Linked DNA regions of Pelodiscus sinensis. The protein of the gene in region 2 interacts with the protein of the main gene of each other region in a pairwise test. Links are inferred from orthologs where the notes say so. Each region holds a gene or a part of one and is shown on either strand. Other genes may lie near its edges.

Region 1 (7,745 bases), on a different chromosome or scaffold from region 2:
CTTCTCTCAGTACTGTGCCACTGTCCCTAGGTTGGATTTAGGGTAAGGCTGGGAAGTACCATCTTTTAACTGTGGGACAGAATTGAGGCTCTTTGTAAAGCACTTTGAGATCCTGGGATGGCAGGCACAATATAAATGCAAATAATTCATGCATAACATCAGCAACATTCCTGCTTCCCCACTCGGGTACACACTTAGCCAGAAGCCTCTTTTCGGTGAGCTTTCACAAAAAGAAAATAAATCCCAATATAAGGGTCACTCCTTTCCCAAGTCCTCTGCAGTCCAAGGTGAACAACTGGTTCTAGTCTCAGCCTGCAGTCCCATGCGAGGACACTGCAGAGCTGGAAACACTGCCACAAGGTTAAAGGCACATTTGCACTATGTTTCCATAAGCAAGCTTAAAATCAAGATGCAATACAGCAAACAACCATGAACCAGAAAACCAAGAGGATATTTAGCATGAAATATCCTCAATTAATACTTTCAGCCCTAGAAGATTTCAAATCTTTTGTCCAACATCAAGCACTGAGACAACACTGTCTTCAATAAAAATTCTTAGCACTAACAGCAAATTCTAAAACATCACTTTCTAACAAAAGCTTAACATTTATAATGACTTGCCCAGATAATACTGCCCAAAAGTGTTCTCAGTTCTTCCTTTTTTTCCAGGAAGGGCGCACTCTCTAGAATCACACCAGATGACTAGGAATCAAAACTATTCCATTCCAAGCTCTGCCACAGCTTCAGTGTGCTGCCTTAGGAAAGTCATTTAACTTCTCTGTCCCTTAATTTCCCCCTGCATGTTAGAGTGCATGTGGAATTTTATTTGTATCCAGAAATATTGCATTAGTGTAAAAGTTTTTTTTTAAATGCTTTAAAATCAATGATAATAAACAGAAAGTTCAATGAACCCCCCAGTACACTGATGAAGGAAAGCTTTGGCTACCAAGAATATTGATCACCCGTAAGAGGGCAGAGGAAGATTCAGAGACAGTGCGGTCTGGGGATAAGCCACTAGACAGGGACTCAGGAGGCCCAAGCTATGATCCCAGTTCTGCCATTACTGAGCAAATCACTTTCTCTTTCTGTGCTCCCTAACCCCCCTCCAACACACCTCTTATTTAGAAAGCAAGGCCTCTGGGGCAAAGACTGTCTCTTGCTAGCTGTAGTATTGCACCTAGCACAAAATGAGCTACCGTAATATACACACAACAACTTTTAGGCAAGAGCGAAGGAACAGTGCTCTGGGGAGAATTAACAACAGCAGCAGCAAAAGGACCGAAATCTATCCCTAGAATAGCAGCTGCCCAAGGCAACAGCAGGTGACAGACAGGTCCAAGGTGCCAACTACAACTTCAGTAAACCACCTTTCCCTCACATCCCCTCTGCTGCCCCCAAGAAGCACAGCCACCATTGACTATTACAGTGTTTCTCAACATTTTTACATAAAGTACCCTTTAAAAATTATAAGTACCTCCAGTACCTACAGTTTTCAGACACCATTTTTTTTCTACCATTGCAACACATTTGTTTAAACAACTTAATAATAGCCAGGCAGGCAATGGAATTTTTGGGTGTAAAAAATACAAAAATAATAAAGCGCTATAAAACTTAAAACAAAAATTCAGTTTTCTCCAAATTTCAGTTGTGTTGATGTACCACTAAGGGTACTCGTACCACTGGTTGAGAAACACTGGACTATTATGTCCTTAATGACCCTGCTACCAGCTACTCCTTCCCGTACAAGTCTTCACAAATCTAGTCTTTAAAATGCTACCAGACTATTTGTTGTTTTTTAAGTTTTTTCATATTCAAAATATTAATACACAGAAACCCATTGGGGAACATTTTAACTTGCCTGGGCACTCACGAATGGATCTAGAAGTGACTATTACAAAACCATTTCAAAAACCAGATTGAGAAAGAAGCTACAGAACTTGGTTTAATGTATAAGTCTGACACCTGGAAACAAGGTCTAAAAAAAGACCTGGACTGGATGGGCCACTACATTCCACACCCTAATGACATCAAAAGCTAAGCACCAGGTACTTAGAGCCTACTCTATTAGCCTCATACAGCATAGTCACTAATTGACAATATTTTCCCCCCCATTTTCCCCTCTCTCTTTCCCTCCCCATCCCCACTCTCTCTCTGCTATTTATTTGTACCCTGGACCCCTTAACTCCATTCCTCTGAAGAAGTGGGTTGTGCCCACAAAAGCTCATTATACCATCTACATTTTTGGTTAGTCTCTAAGGTGCTGCAGGACTATCCATTGTTTTTTAAGTCTTCACCAGTGAGCCAGGGGAGAATAACTGCCCCCATGACTAGCATCAATCTTTCTGGGGCTCTCAGTCTAGGCCATCACAGAGAGGGACACTGCAACCTGCTCCCCCACACCCTGAGACTCCAAAGCACAGTAACCGTTCCTCAAGAGCCCATTCCTACTTAAAAGCAGGGAACCCTATATTACAGACTCCCCCCCCTTCACCTTTCCCATCTCAGGGCACAGACTCTTGAGGGCCCAGGACCTCCCCGCAATTTTGGTGCACAGAGACTATCAGCCCGCACAGTGCACATTGCTCAAATGCCCCTTCCCCTCACAGTACAGGGGAAAGGACCCCCGTGCAGAAAGCATCATGCAGCCTTCCCCCACACATTCCATGGGACACAGAGACACCCAGTCCCCATAGAGAGCATCACTCAGCCTCACCCCCCAACAAACACAACCTATGGGGCACAGAGATCTCCTGCCCCCACAGAGGGAACCACCCAGCCTCTCCCGCTCTGGGCACCACACAACCCCACCCACTATGGGGCACCCTTGCCCAGTGCAGCACCACGCTGCTGCCCCCGCCCCCTGCGGAGCTTCCCCCCTACCCGTCTGCCGCTCGCTCTCTGCCATCTTCCTGGAACCAGCCCCCTCCCCGCCGTTATCACCTTTAACCTCTTAGCACAACTGACGCGTCGATCGGCCATACTTGTGCCGGGCACGGCGGCCATATTGCACGGGGCACACAAGCAGTCGTAGTAATTCCGTCGGCCATGTTTGTGCGGGGCGCTCCGGATTCCACACACATATACCCAGGCGGCCATGTTTGTGCGGGGCGCTCCGGATTCCACACACAGGCGGCCATGTTTGTGCGGGGCACTCGCATTCATTAAGGAACTTTTGGGGCTTGACTTAATGTCAGGCGCCAGGGAAGTAGATAGCCCTGCAGAACACAACTCACTAGCTAGGAGACTCCCCCACCTGCCTCTGAGGTGCGATGGGCTATGGCACATCTGGCACCCCCAAAATCAGGAGATGTGTGTGCTTCAGAACCAGAGCACACTTCAGACTCTGGAGTCTCTGACATCTGGAGTTGTGACATGTGGGAATCCAAACGCAGCTCCGGATTCCCATTTCAAGGGCAGCCTCTTTTCTGTTATGCTGAAAAAAGCTACATTCTTGTAGCTTACACGATTTCAAAGTCAAGCAGCCCAAAGTCACAAACTCCAGAATTAAGGTTCTGCCTGCTTGCACGCTTGCGTTACACTACAGCAGCAGTTCTCAAACTGTGGATACGGACCCCCAAGTGGGTTGCCATTCCATTTTAAGGTGATCATCAAGGCTGACAAACTTGCTGGGGCCCGGGTCTGAAGCCCAAACTGCACCTCTCGGGGCCAAAGCCTGAGAGCTTCCACCTTTGGTGGTGGGGCTCATGTTCCAGGCCCCTTGGGCTTCAGCTTTGACCACCCTGTCCGAAGCAGTAGGGCTCTGACTTTGCCCACACACTTGCCTAAGGCAGTGGGACTCAGGCTCAGGCATCAATTTCCCTCCTGAGATCATGAAGTAATTTTTGGTGTCAGATGGGGGTCATGGTGCAATGAAGTTTGAGAACACCTGAACTATAGTCTTTCATTACAGGAACACTTCATATTGTTTCCACTGGATCCTTGCCAAATAATTATCGATGGGGACTAAAAAAGGTATTTTTCCCCCAAACTCAGTCTCAGAAATGGCGTGGTCATTTTTGCTGAAACTTTCCCAAAATATTCAGCGTGTGTCAGACACCCAACACTGGACATTTCAGCTCAAATAGTTGAAGTTTGTCATGGTTATAAGCAAGTGAAAACTATCTTATAATGGAAATTGTAAAGTAATCTGAACTATAGATGCCACTACTAGTTCTGCATATGATAAACCAAAACTCCAGTTCCAAATGCTCTCCAAGACCTAATCCCTGCTTTGGCCCATAATTTAGCAGATAGCTTCCCTCTTTATAAAAGGAGGGAGAAAGGAAGAGAAAAAGACATCTCTAAACTGTGGGAGGTCTGGAAATCCAGACACAGGTTCAACTACTTCATCTTCATCCCCTCTCTTGTTAATTCAGTGTTGAGCACTGTCAGTGTTGTATGGGATCAAAAGGCAGAGATTGTTCTTGCTACAAGTCACTAGAAGTCAGCATCAGACACTGTGATGTAACCCAGGGCTGTGGATCTCATCTCCCTGTAGCATGCATATTTTCCCTTACCATTTTTATTGGTGTACTATTCTTGAAATATGTCCTAGAAGGATATCTGCTTTAAGGAGGGATTCCTAGGAGAGGAAGAACATTTGGCACTGAGAAAGAGACTGTCCCAAGCATAAGTTATAGCACAGAGAAAAATGCATAGATAAGAGTGGGATAATGCTGGATGGAGCACAGTCTACAGGCCCAGGGGCTAATCTGGTGCTAGGCATAAACAGACTAAGCTATTGCTTAGGGCCCTGTGCAGCTCCAAGGGGGCCTCTATTAATTATTAGTTTGTGTTTTGTGTGGTGCCCCCCAAATATTTCTGGTTAGGACCCCCCCAATGGGTTAACACTGCTGGGGAGAGGGGAAATAGGAAGGAACAGAAAACAGAAATAATAGTTAAAGAGTAGCATTGTGCAGAGTTGTGAAGAAGAAGAAGAAGAAGAAGAAGAAGAAGAAGAAGAAGAGATTAGTTTAATGTAGGAGAAAGTCAGGGAAGGGATCTGAACAGCTTGGGTGGGCTGAGGGGAAAGGTTATATATAGCAGTGGTGGGAAACCTGCAGCCCTATTGCCGCATGCAACCCACTGGGGTTTCACCTGTGGCCTGTGCACCCCCCAGACTGCTCCCATACTCCACATGCATCTCACGGGAACCCTATTGGGCTGCAAGCCCACCACTAGTTATGTGGCCCACTAGTCCACGAAGGTTGCCCATCACTGATACATTGGCTTTAAAGAATTAAATGTTTGTCAGTAGATGTCAGCAAACATTTATTTCACTGCATGCACGCACATGCACACGCACACAAACCAACCAACAAAAACATTCCCATGAATAATAACTAAAATGCACAATATGCAAAGTAAGAAAAACAGTTTGAGAACTTGGATTCAAAATCCATTGATTTTTTAAATTAGACTTTTGAATTAAACAAATAGTCTCGGAAATGAATAGTAAAAACAGATATGATTTGTTGATTTAAAGATATTTACTTTGTGGATTTTGACACATGATGTGCACAGAGTGCTTTCATGTTTACAAAGCTTTAACTTTTGGAATTTCATTGTCTAATAGTTGTCTAATTCCCCCTTTAATTTCCCACAACAGTATGAATTCCGATACACATCTAAAGAAATGTTTAAAAATAAACACAGGGATCAAAACTTATAAAACATAGAAGTGGAAACCTGCCAAGCCTAGTTGTAAGGTCAGAGTGGCAAGATAAGCAGGTGATTTTACCAACAGCAGTTCGGTTGGAGTGGAGTAGAGTGACCATGTGTGACTGCTACCACCTGGCCAAAACACTGAAGAGCTAAAAGCATGAACTGCTATAGACTGAATGAAAGACTAAACTTTTCAGCTCATCAGCAGGGGCTGTCATATCTTCACTTAATACACATTCCTCTCTCTGCAGGCACAAGTCCTAGTTCAGAAGCCATTCCTTCTGCTGATCTCTGCTCCCTCCTAACTCCTGAGATCAGGAACTGAGAAAGGGAGGAGATGACTGCACTAGTTTAGACCAGGGATCAGCTGTCATCAGAGAGCTATGCAGAGCAGAGCCCTGCCCCTCACAAAGATGGTCGCGCCTCTGCTTATTGGTCATTGCAGAGGAGGGCTGTGCCCCACACAAAGATGGCTGCTCTGCTGCGCCCTCCCCCAGCGGCTGCTGAGCCAGGGACGGCCGTGCGGACTTGTTACGCTGTAGCTGGGTTGCTGCTGCTGAAGTTACACTGTAGCTAACTGTCTCTGTGTCTCGCAAGGCCGGGGCTGCTGAGTTGACAGGACTTTGCTCACTCGGGGGCAGTGGTTAGTAGCCGGGGTGGTGCACACGCAGGGCTATGCTGGCCTTCATAGCAAGGAGCATGGTAAGTAACAGCTGATCACTGCTTGCTTTGCAGGCTGGGTTAACGTTGGGGGGAGGGCAGGGGGAGCTTTCTCAGCTTTGAACAACCTTGGGACAGTGCATGGCCTTAACAACCCATGCATGGCCTTATCCAGGAGTGTCTGATGTGGTCTCCTGAGAATGAAACCAGGGGGCTTCCAGAGGCTACGAGACACATGCAGAATTGAGAGTAACCTGAAAAGTTTGTTGTTTTTTATTTTTATGTTTTGTTTTTGTTTTGGAGATTTGAAGGGGGCATTAAGAGAAATGTCCTTCCCTGACTTAATACAGGATGGGAAAGAGGAGGGTGGAGAAGATCTAGCTTGTCTCTGTACAGCTATGGTGTGATTTTTCTTGTATGACGTGCAAGTGTTTTGTAAGAAAGATCATTAAAAAGCAGAGAGCGACGGGAAGATTACTGCTAGGTGGAAGTTTGCAAAGGACGGGAGTTTCCTCGAGATGTATAGTAACTTCATTAAAGGGAGGGAGGTTTGGCCAGTCGCCAGGATCAGTCTTCAATTATGACAGTCAGTGAAAAGCTGTAAGTATTGTTCAATTTGTTCATTTTTTTTTCTTTTTGAAATTTTTTCCCCTTGTGTCTTTTACCAGCAAAACACTTCTTGGGTCTTCCCTGGGCTGGGAGTGACCTTTGTCACTTGCAGAAGTTGATTATGTTCCTTCTGTCAACTCACACTTCTGCCAAGAGCTAAGTTACTAAACTGATTAATTCTTTCACCTGGGCGCTGCCTCTTGGTTTCCTTTTTTTTTTTTTTTTTTTTTTATCTGATTAAGAAAATATTCACATATTCCAGGAGTGCCTTTACTAAATCTCTTTCCACACTAGTTGTCTGCTGTTGAAACAAAGTTGAAATTAATACTGTTACAAGCCATAGTTGATAGAGCTGAGGAGAATGCAGAGTTGTGGATTGTTTTTTTTAACCTGTGGAAAGAATTCCCTTTTCTCCACATCACAGCTGTGCTGCCTGTCCTGTGACTTGAAGGTTCTGTGACTTTTACTTTTTCTTTAAAAGTATCTATTAGGGATGTGAATGGTTAACCAGTAAGCATCACCTGGATGGAGGCTCACCTGGTGGGCATAGACTGCCTCCATTCCTCAGGTGGAAAGGAGAGACTGTGAGCTGCTGCTTGCTCCTCTGTTCTAGATTTATCCACTGGAATCTCAATACATGCCTGGTAGTTACCGGCACTAAAATGAACAAGTAAGGGCTGCTTGGGGTAATATCCAGATGAGATGCTCGGATTTTTTGTTTGCGTTGGTGTGATATTTTCATAATTGCTTTTTCTTTTTCACTGCAATCCACCCATGCCTTTTTTTCCTTCTAATAAAATGGCAAACACACA
Region 2 (7,680 bases):
TTTGGTCTAAATATGTTAGGGTATGTCTACACTACCCCGCTAGTTCGAACTAGCGGGGTAATGTAGGCATACCGCAATTGCAAATGAAGCCCGGGATTTGAATTTCCTGGGCTTCATTTGCATAAGCGGGCGCCGCCATTTTTAAATCCCCGCTCGTTCGAACCCCGTGCCGCGCAGCAACACGCGGCACGAACGAGGTAGTTCAAACTAGGCTTCCTAGTTCGAACTACCGTTACTCCTCGTGGAATGAGGAGTAACGGTAGTTCGAACTAGGAAGCCTAGTTCGAACTACCTAGTTCGTGCCGCGTGTAGCTGCGCGGCACGGGGTTCGAACGAGCGGGGATTTAAAAATGGCGGCGCCCGCTTATGCAAATGAAGCCCAGGAAATTCAAATCCCGGGCTTCATTTGCAATTGCGGTATGCCTACATTACCCCGCTAGTTCGAACTAGCAGGGTAGTGTAGACATACCCTTATGTAATAGGATGTAGCTGCTGTGGAGATTCTTAACACTAGCAGCTTCCCCGAAGGGGACATTTAGGGATGTGTTTCTAAAATACCCAGACTTCCAACAGAAGGAAAATACAGGGCAGAAAGGAGGTGGCGTATGCGGTGTCTTTTGGGACATACCATGTCTCAGTGAAATGTGAGGCCTGTGTTGTGTATATGCCTTTTGCATGCTGCAGATTTACATTTGTCCCAACATCCAGTTAGCCTCTTTCTACTGATTCCTTTTGGCCTCTTAATGGGTTAGTCACAATGTAGGCCCTATTGCAGTAATCTGAAACAAGACTGAGGTAAAGGCAGTGCGAACAAAACATTTTTAAAGTATAGGTATGTGGGTCTAACACACTATACTCTGACACTTGTGCATATAGACAAAAAATATGTTTCCAAGTGGGTTGTAACCATGATTCACACATGCAAATTAGTCAGGTCACCCAAAGCGTGTTGCTTTTTGAGCACCTGTAAAACTAAGCCTCTGCCTTCCCCCAGTCTACTCTTTTCTAACTACTAGATCCACTTGAAAGACAACAGCCTTAATTTTCCTGTAACACCACTATTTCATGCAAGTAACTGCAGTAGGTCCCACAAGAACATCACGTGCTTGTATGTGAAAAGGGTGCCACCAGTGAGGAATTCTTTGTTAAAATATGGTCTGGATTATGACTAAGTTTGCGAAACCCTTGACTAAGAGAAATAAAACAAGGAAGATCAAAAATAATGCCTCCAAGGGGAAGAGGGTCTCAGACATGCTGAATCAGTTGTGACTCAGGAAATGGCTGCTGGTCTAGTTTACATACAGGTGCCATAGAAATTTAAATATGCAGGTTACGTGTTAACAATTGACAGTTCTTCCTTGCTTCTATATTTTTTGTTACTCTTCACTTACTAAATATCTTATTCTATACTATTTTCCCTCATCACCTTCTGATTTCTGTATTGTAGAACCACATTTCCACTATGTTGATTTATGACTAATATAATGTGTAGTTAACCCAGTGATGGGAAAACTAAGACAGTGAGTAAGCTGCATGAGTGGCCCTCCATCTGAATGAGCAGCAAGATTGTTGTAACCAAGACTGTCTTTCAGGATGGGGTAGTTTTGCTAACTCTGCTCGTGTACCTAGAATTTGTAAAGTATGCCAGTTGAACAATAGCAGCACTTTGACTGGATTGCAGAGGGAGTACATGGCACTCAGTCAATATTTTGTGCAGTTAGTATACCACCTCACTTCATGTGCCTTTGCTTTATGTGCCTGTCACTTTAGTAATACTGGTAGGAGGAAAATTACATGGATGGAAGCCAACAGAATCTGGCAACTCTGCAACAATAAACAAAGTGTGTCATGGGCCACACGTAGAAACCTGATGGGCCATATGTGGCCCACAAACCACAAGCTGTGTATCAGTGAGAACCTGTAATGTTTTTGATTTATCACTCCCAACCAAATTCTAAGCAAATATAATTAAAACATAAAAGCAGAATATTAAAGAAGATTATCATTTAAAACTATGCCAGGTTTATGTAAAAAAAATGCAAATACAGCAGTGTATAAGAAAAAGCCATTGACGTCATCTATCAAGATATTTATAAAGTATTTCATCACAGTGGTTTCTAGGTGCTAAAACAAATTTAAGGGTAGCATGAAATTTTAAATGGCTGAGAACTATGCTGCCTACTAATTCAATTAGTATGGGGATCTCCTGTATGCTCATTTTGCAATGTTCTTTTTTACTGTATCTTTGGCCCTGTCAGGATGGCATATGTAAAGAGAGAGTTCTCAAATCACATTGTGAACACAAAATGCAGGACTATGTAGCACTTTAAAGATTAACAAGATGGTTTATTAGATGATGAGCTTTCGTGAGCCAGACCCACTTCCTCAGATCAAATAGTGGAAGAAAATAGTCACAACCATATATACCAAAGGATACAATTAAAAAAAATGAACACATATGAAAAGGACAAATCTCATTTCAGAACAGAAGAGGGATGTGTGGGGGGGGGGGGGGGCGAAGGAAGGAAGGTAAGTGTCTGTGAATTAATGATATTAGAGGTGGGGAAAGTTAGATGTCTGTGAGCTACCATTACATTTTTTTTAATTGTATCCTTTGGTATATATGGTTGTGACTATTTTCTTCCACTATTTGATCTGAGGAAGTGGGTCTGGCCCACGAAAGCTCATCATCTAATAAACCATCTTGTTAGTCTTTAAAGTGCTACATAGTCCTGCATTTTGCTTCAGCTACACCAGACTTACATGGCTAAATTTCTATTACTACAGGTAGTCCCCGGGTTACGTACCAGATAGGGACTGTAGGTTTGTTCTTAAGTTGAATCTGTATGTAAGTCGGAACTGGCGTCCAGATTCAGCCGCTGCTGAAACTGATCAGTTTCAACAGCGGCTGAATCTGGACGCCAGTTCTGACTTACATACAGATTCAACTTAAGAACCCCAGGCATCCCCAAGTTAGCTGCTGCTGAAACTGATTAGCGGCTGATTCCAGGAAGCCCGGGGCAGGGGCTTCCTGTAGTCAGCCACTGGTCAGTTTCAGCAGCGGCTGACTTGGGGACGCCTGGGGCAGAGCAGCTGGGGTGCTACTGGGTTGGTCCAGTAGCACCAAGGAGCGGTGCTGCGGGACCAACCGGCAGCGCCCCACCTGCTCTACCACAGGCCTGGGGCTTTGCTCCACGTCTTCCTGGTCTGCTGGAGGGGGGAGGGGGACCACTAGCTGCGCCCCCCCCAGCAGACCAGGGACACGGGGAGCAAAGCCGCAGGGGCGGTGGGTCTGCCTCCCCGGCTTTGCTCCAGGTGTCTCTGGTCTGCTGGAGACGGTCCCCAGCAGACCAGAGGCACCGGGAGCAAAGCGGCAGCGGCAGTGGAGTCTCGTGCCTCTGAGGCTTTGCCAGAGCAAAGCCTCAGAGGCGCGGGACCCCTCCGCCTCCCCAGCTTTGCTCCCGGTGTCCCTGGTCTGCTGGAGATGGTCCCCAGCAGACCAGGGGCACCCGGAGCAGCTTTTCTCGCCCCGGAGGTCGAGGTGGCGGGACCGCTGCGCTCTGGGCAGTCCCACTGCCTGCGAGCTCTGGGGCGAGAGAGCCCCGTTCGTAAGTGCGGATCCGACATAAGTCGGATCCACGTAACTCGGCGACTGCCTGTATTGTGAACACAGTGAGGCTTGGAATCATTTAGGGGCAGTGAGTTTTATGGGTTTAAAGCTACACTAATTCAGATAAGTGATTTTGAAACTGAAACTTTTTAAATATAAGTAGCAAATTTCATAATCAGGCAACAACAGAAATCACTGTGTATGGATGCTGCCCTTAATCACATTTGCTTCTGAGCAATTTTTATGGTGCTGATGATGGAAAAAAAATGTTGGTAGTACTTGATGGGCACATACTGACCTTTTACTGGAGAAATACTGAGAAAACTGCTACATAAAGAGAATTTTTTTATTGCTCCACCACAGTCTAGAGACATAACAAGAATGGCACAGCATCTGCTGTGCTGTGCTGTGTTGTGTTGTCAGTAGAGCTAGATGGATGAGACAGGACTGTGGAGTGCAGCTACCTACAAAACATGAATGATAGCTGAAGCCATACCTGCAAACATCTACATAGCTTATTCTGACCTGCATGAATAATTAAGATTAAAATGTTTGTTTAAAAAGCTATTTCTAGTTTCTTTTCTCCCACAGGCCAAATTGGATTCCACAATCTCAAATGTAAAATATAAGCATTTAGATTTCATGTGCAATCTACTAAGTGCAAATTTCAACCTTCTGAAGTTGTAGCTTTCCTCAAATTGAATAAAATCGGGGGAAGAGCTTTTATGGTCAGAGGGAGAGAGAGGGTGTGTGTAAGTAATGCCTAAAACAACACTATGAGCAGCCAAGAGTGAATTGGACACCCTCTGCCTTAGCCTAACATCAGTCACTCAAGCAAAAGGTTGCTTTTTGTCTAGAGAAAAGACTATGGCAGGGGTGGTTATTTTAAATAGGGCTCACAACGCATTGGGATCTGGGCTGAGAACCCTGAATGCAGCAGCGGAATCTCGTCTTCCCTGGGGACCTTTCGGGGGGTGGGTGCCATGGTGAGAGAACTACACTTCCCAGAAGACGTTGCAGCGGGTTCCCACAGCGGGGCATGCTGGGAATTGTAGTTGGAGCAGCCTAGTGAAAGTTAATCCCCGAAGCGGCGTCAGGCAGTTCCCAGAGCTCCTCGGTGTGTCTCATTGTCGTGCCGCCTTGGTCACCTCTAGGGGGAGCGGCGCAAGATGGATGAGTGGGCGGCTGCTGGGGCAGGTGCCCACGGGGTAAGCACATGGGGCACTGCCCCCCAGGGTGCGTGGGGGGGATGATCTACCCGGCACACGAGGGCACCTTGCGCAGTCCCGCGGCTGCCGGTGCAGGCGAGCTCCGCCCCGGGGCTGTGGCTGCCGGGAGGCAGCGCGGCTTGTGTGCCGGGCACAGGGCGTTCTGCAGGGAGCGGCTCAGCAGCGCCGGGAAGGAAAAGGCGCCGCAGGAGCTTCTCCGCCGCTGCCCTTTGAACTGCTTTGTAGCCACTAACAAAGGGCAGGGGCGGGCTGGTTGCGCCGCTTCGCCCTGCCGCGGGGCTTTACTCTCCAGGACGTTTGCGGAGACGGATTTGTGGCTCTAGCTCCCTCCACTCGGCAACCGGGAGAAACAAAACCTGCGGGATCCCCCCTCCCCCACCGGAGCCAAGAAGGGGGGGGGGGGCTGGCTTTACCCTGCTGCCCATCTCGTCCCCCCTCTGCTCCTTCCCCAGAGTCCACTGACTCCCCGCAGTTGACGGAGGGGGCTGCCCTCCCCTTCTGCCCCCCATCTGCACCGGAGCCAAAGTACTGAGAGAGGTGCAGGCTGGCTTCATTCACTCCTCTGCACTCTCTGTATGGCTCCAAAGGAGCTGTCTCCCCCCCCACCCCCCATTGAGAGACGGGATGTCTCCCCTCTCTTCCCCTCCTCTCCTTTTACACACCAGAGAAAGGAGCTGTGGGGTGTGTTTTTGTGGCTGGGGCGCTTGGAGACCTATGTTTAGTTCTTGGCTCTACCACAGATTCCTTTTATGATCGGGGAGGGGGGGGAGGCTGCGGCATTCATTAGTATCTGTGTGTACTAATACAAGAGGAGTGGGGGCATCGATCGGATAGAGGAAAGGACCCCACCTCCAGCTTACTTTATGGCCCAGAGAGAGCCCCCTTCCCCATCACCAAAGTGAGGGACTGTCCTGTTCTACCTGGATCCACAGCTCCAAACCTGTAGCATCTGCATAAAGATTTTGCTCCCTTTCCCTGTCCGCTATGGCCTCATTAAATTTGGAAGAGAGTAAGTGAATCCATATCCCTTGTCTGGGATGTGTTGCGAGGACAAGCTTTTCACTCAGTCTGCAATAATCCCAGCAGAGGCAGTAGGTCTAGTATTCTGCCACTTCCTGCAAATCACATGTAGCTCCACAAATTTATTTCTGTTTTTTAACAAGTGTAGGGATCCTGCTAATCACTGCAGCCATGGGCAGGGTCTGGGCCTAGTGATCTTGGAGGCCAGGCACTGAGGTGATGGCAAATCAGGAGAATATAAAGGTTGGGAGTCTGTCTCTGTTAAACCTATTAAATATCCACTATAAGCCTGACCTTGTAATCCAAGCACAGGGAGGGAATAAATCCCATTAATTTAAGTGAGCATTAAGAGCTAGATCTTGGGTTCTGTGGAAGCATAGCTCATAAAGTGGACTGAAGGTGGGTTTAAACTTTCTATGTTGGGCACAGCCAGGAACAGATAGACCCTTAACATCAGTTGGAGCAGCCCATAGTTCCCACAGCAGTAGCTTCCTAGGATCTGTTCTACTAGTGGATAATGCCTGCTGCACAAGTCTCTCAGTAATGCTCCTTTCTCCTGCAGCTTCCTATATTGGAGGAATCCTCAGCTGCATGGCTTACATATCTCAAAGGGATCAGAGCAGAGACCAAAGTGCGGGGTTTAAACTTCCTCTGTGTCACTTCACATAAATACACATCTGACAAAGCGTTTTTTTAACCAAGAAAGCTTATGCTATGGATGTTAAAAAGTGGTTAATTAGGTAACCATGTAACCACTGAAAATTCTCAGCAGTTACATGATTACACTGCAGGCTCTGCAGTGTAAAGCTTATACTGCAGAGCCCCAAAGCACAACTGGCTCCTTGGGAGCAGAGCTGGCTGGCCCCACTCCTGGGGAGCTGGCAGCGCTGCAGACTTTGCAGTATAAGCTTTAAAATGCAGCCGGCTCCCTGGGCATACTGGCTTTTAAGCCGGCTCCCAGTGCATACTGGCTCCTGCCAGCTGGCCTGCTGCCATCCTGCATTGCAGGCTCTGATACAGAGCGAGCAGCACAGGGTGGCAACCAGCTCCCCAGGAATGGGGCGGAGAACCTGCATGTAACCGTTAACGGTAACTGATAAGCCTAGGCTTATCAGTTTAAATTATGGTACTATTACATCCCTAGCTTCTACACAAATAAATTTGTTAGTCTTTAAGATGCTACAGGACTCCTCATTGTTTTTGCAGATACAGACTAACAGGGCTACCCCTCTGAGATTTCACACACAAAAAATCGGTTTACTCTTAACAAAGATCCTAATTTCAGTCCCAAAATGGTATGAGAGAAACAAGAGATATGACTTTTTTGGGGAAGGAAAGCGTCTGTTTTAATTTTATTTTTATTCCAATATATAATAATAAATGGTAATACCTAGATTTTACTAGCACTTTTCATCAATAGATCTCGAAGTGCTTTAAAGAACAAGTATTAAGAATGCCTGTTGCAGGCTCTGAACAGATAATTAAGAAAACAATCCAATAATGAAAGCAGCAGTGGCAAACCACAAAAAGCTAGTTCATATAACCACAATTTCCACACCCCTCAAATAAAATTCCATACCTCCAGTACAGGCAGTCCCCGACTTACGCGGATCTGACTTACGTCAGATCCGCACTTACGAACGGGGCTTTCTCGCCCCGGAGATTGAGGTGGCAGATTGCTACCTGCGAGCTCCGGGCGAGAAAGCCCCGTTCGTAAGCTGCTCCGGTGCCCCTGGTCTGCTGGAGACCGTCTCCAGCAGACCAGGGACACTGGGCGGGTTCCCGCGCTTCTGAGGCTTTGCTGACCAGCGCTGACTACAG

The links.
Region 1: the proteins of AMOT (region 2) and PTPA interact in binary tests that used the Homo sapiens proteins (3 or more experiments, as listed by UniProt). The two-hybrid records come from large-scale screens. The link is inferred for Pelodiscus sinensis from reciprocal best matches to the Homo sapiens genes AMOT and PTPA.

Annotation. Positions count from the first base shown.
Region 1 is NC_134732.1:12,143,440-12,151,184, reverse strand, and holds the start of PTPA (serine/threonine-protein phosphatase 2A activator), read right to left. Parts: upstream 3,004-7,745; 5' UTR 2,906-3,003; coding exon 2,881-2,905; intron 1-2,880. UniProt on the Homo sapiens protein: PPIases accelerate the folding of proteins. It catalyzes the cis-trans isomerization of proline imidic peptide bonds in oligopeptides. Acts as a regulatory subunit for serine/threonine-protein phosphatase 2A (PP2A).
Region 2 is NC_134723.1:26,614,406-26,622,085, forward strand, and holds the start of AMOT (angiomotin), read left to right. Parts: upstream 1-4,667; 5' UTR 4,668-4,818; intron 4,819-7,680.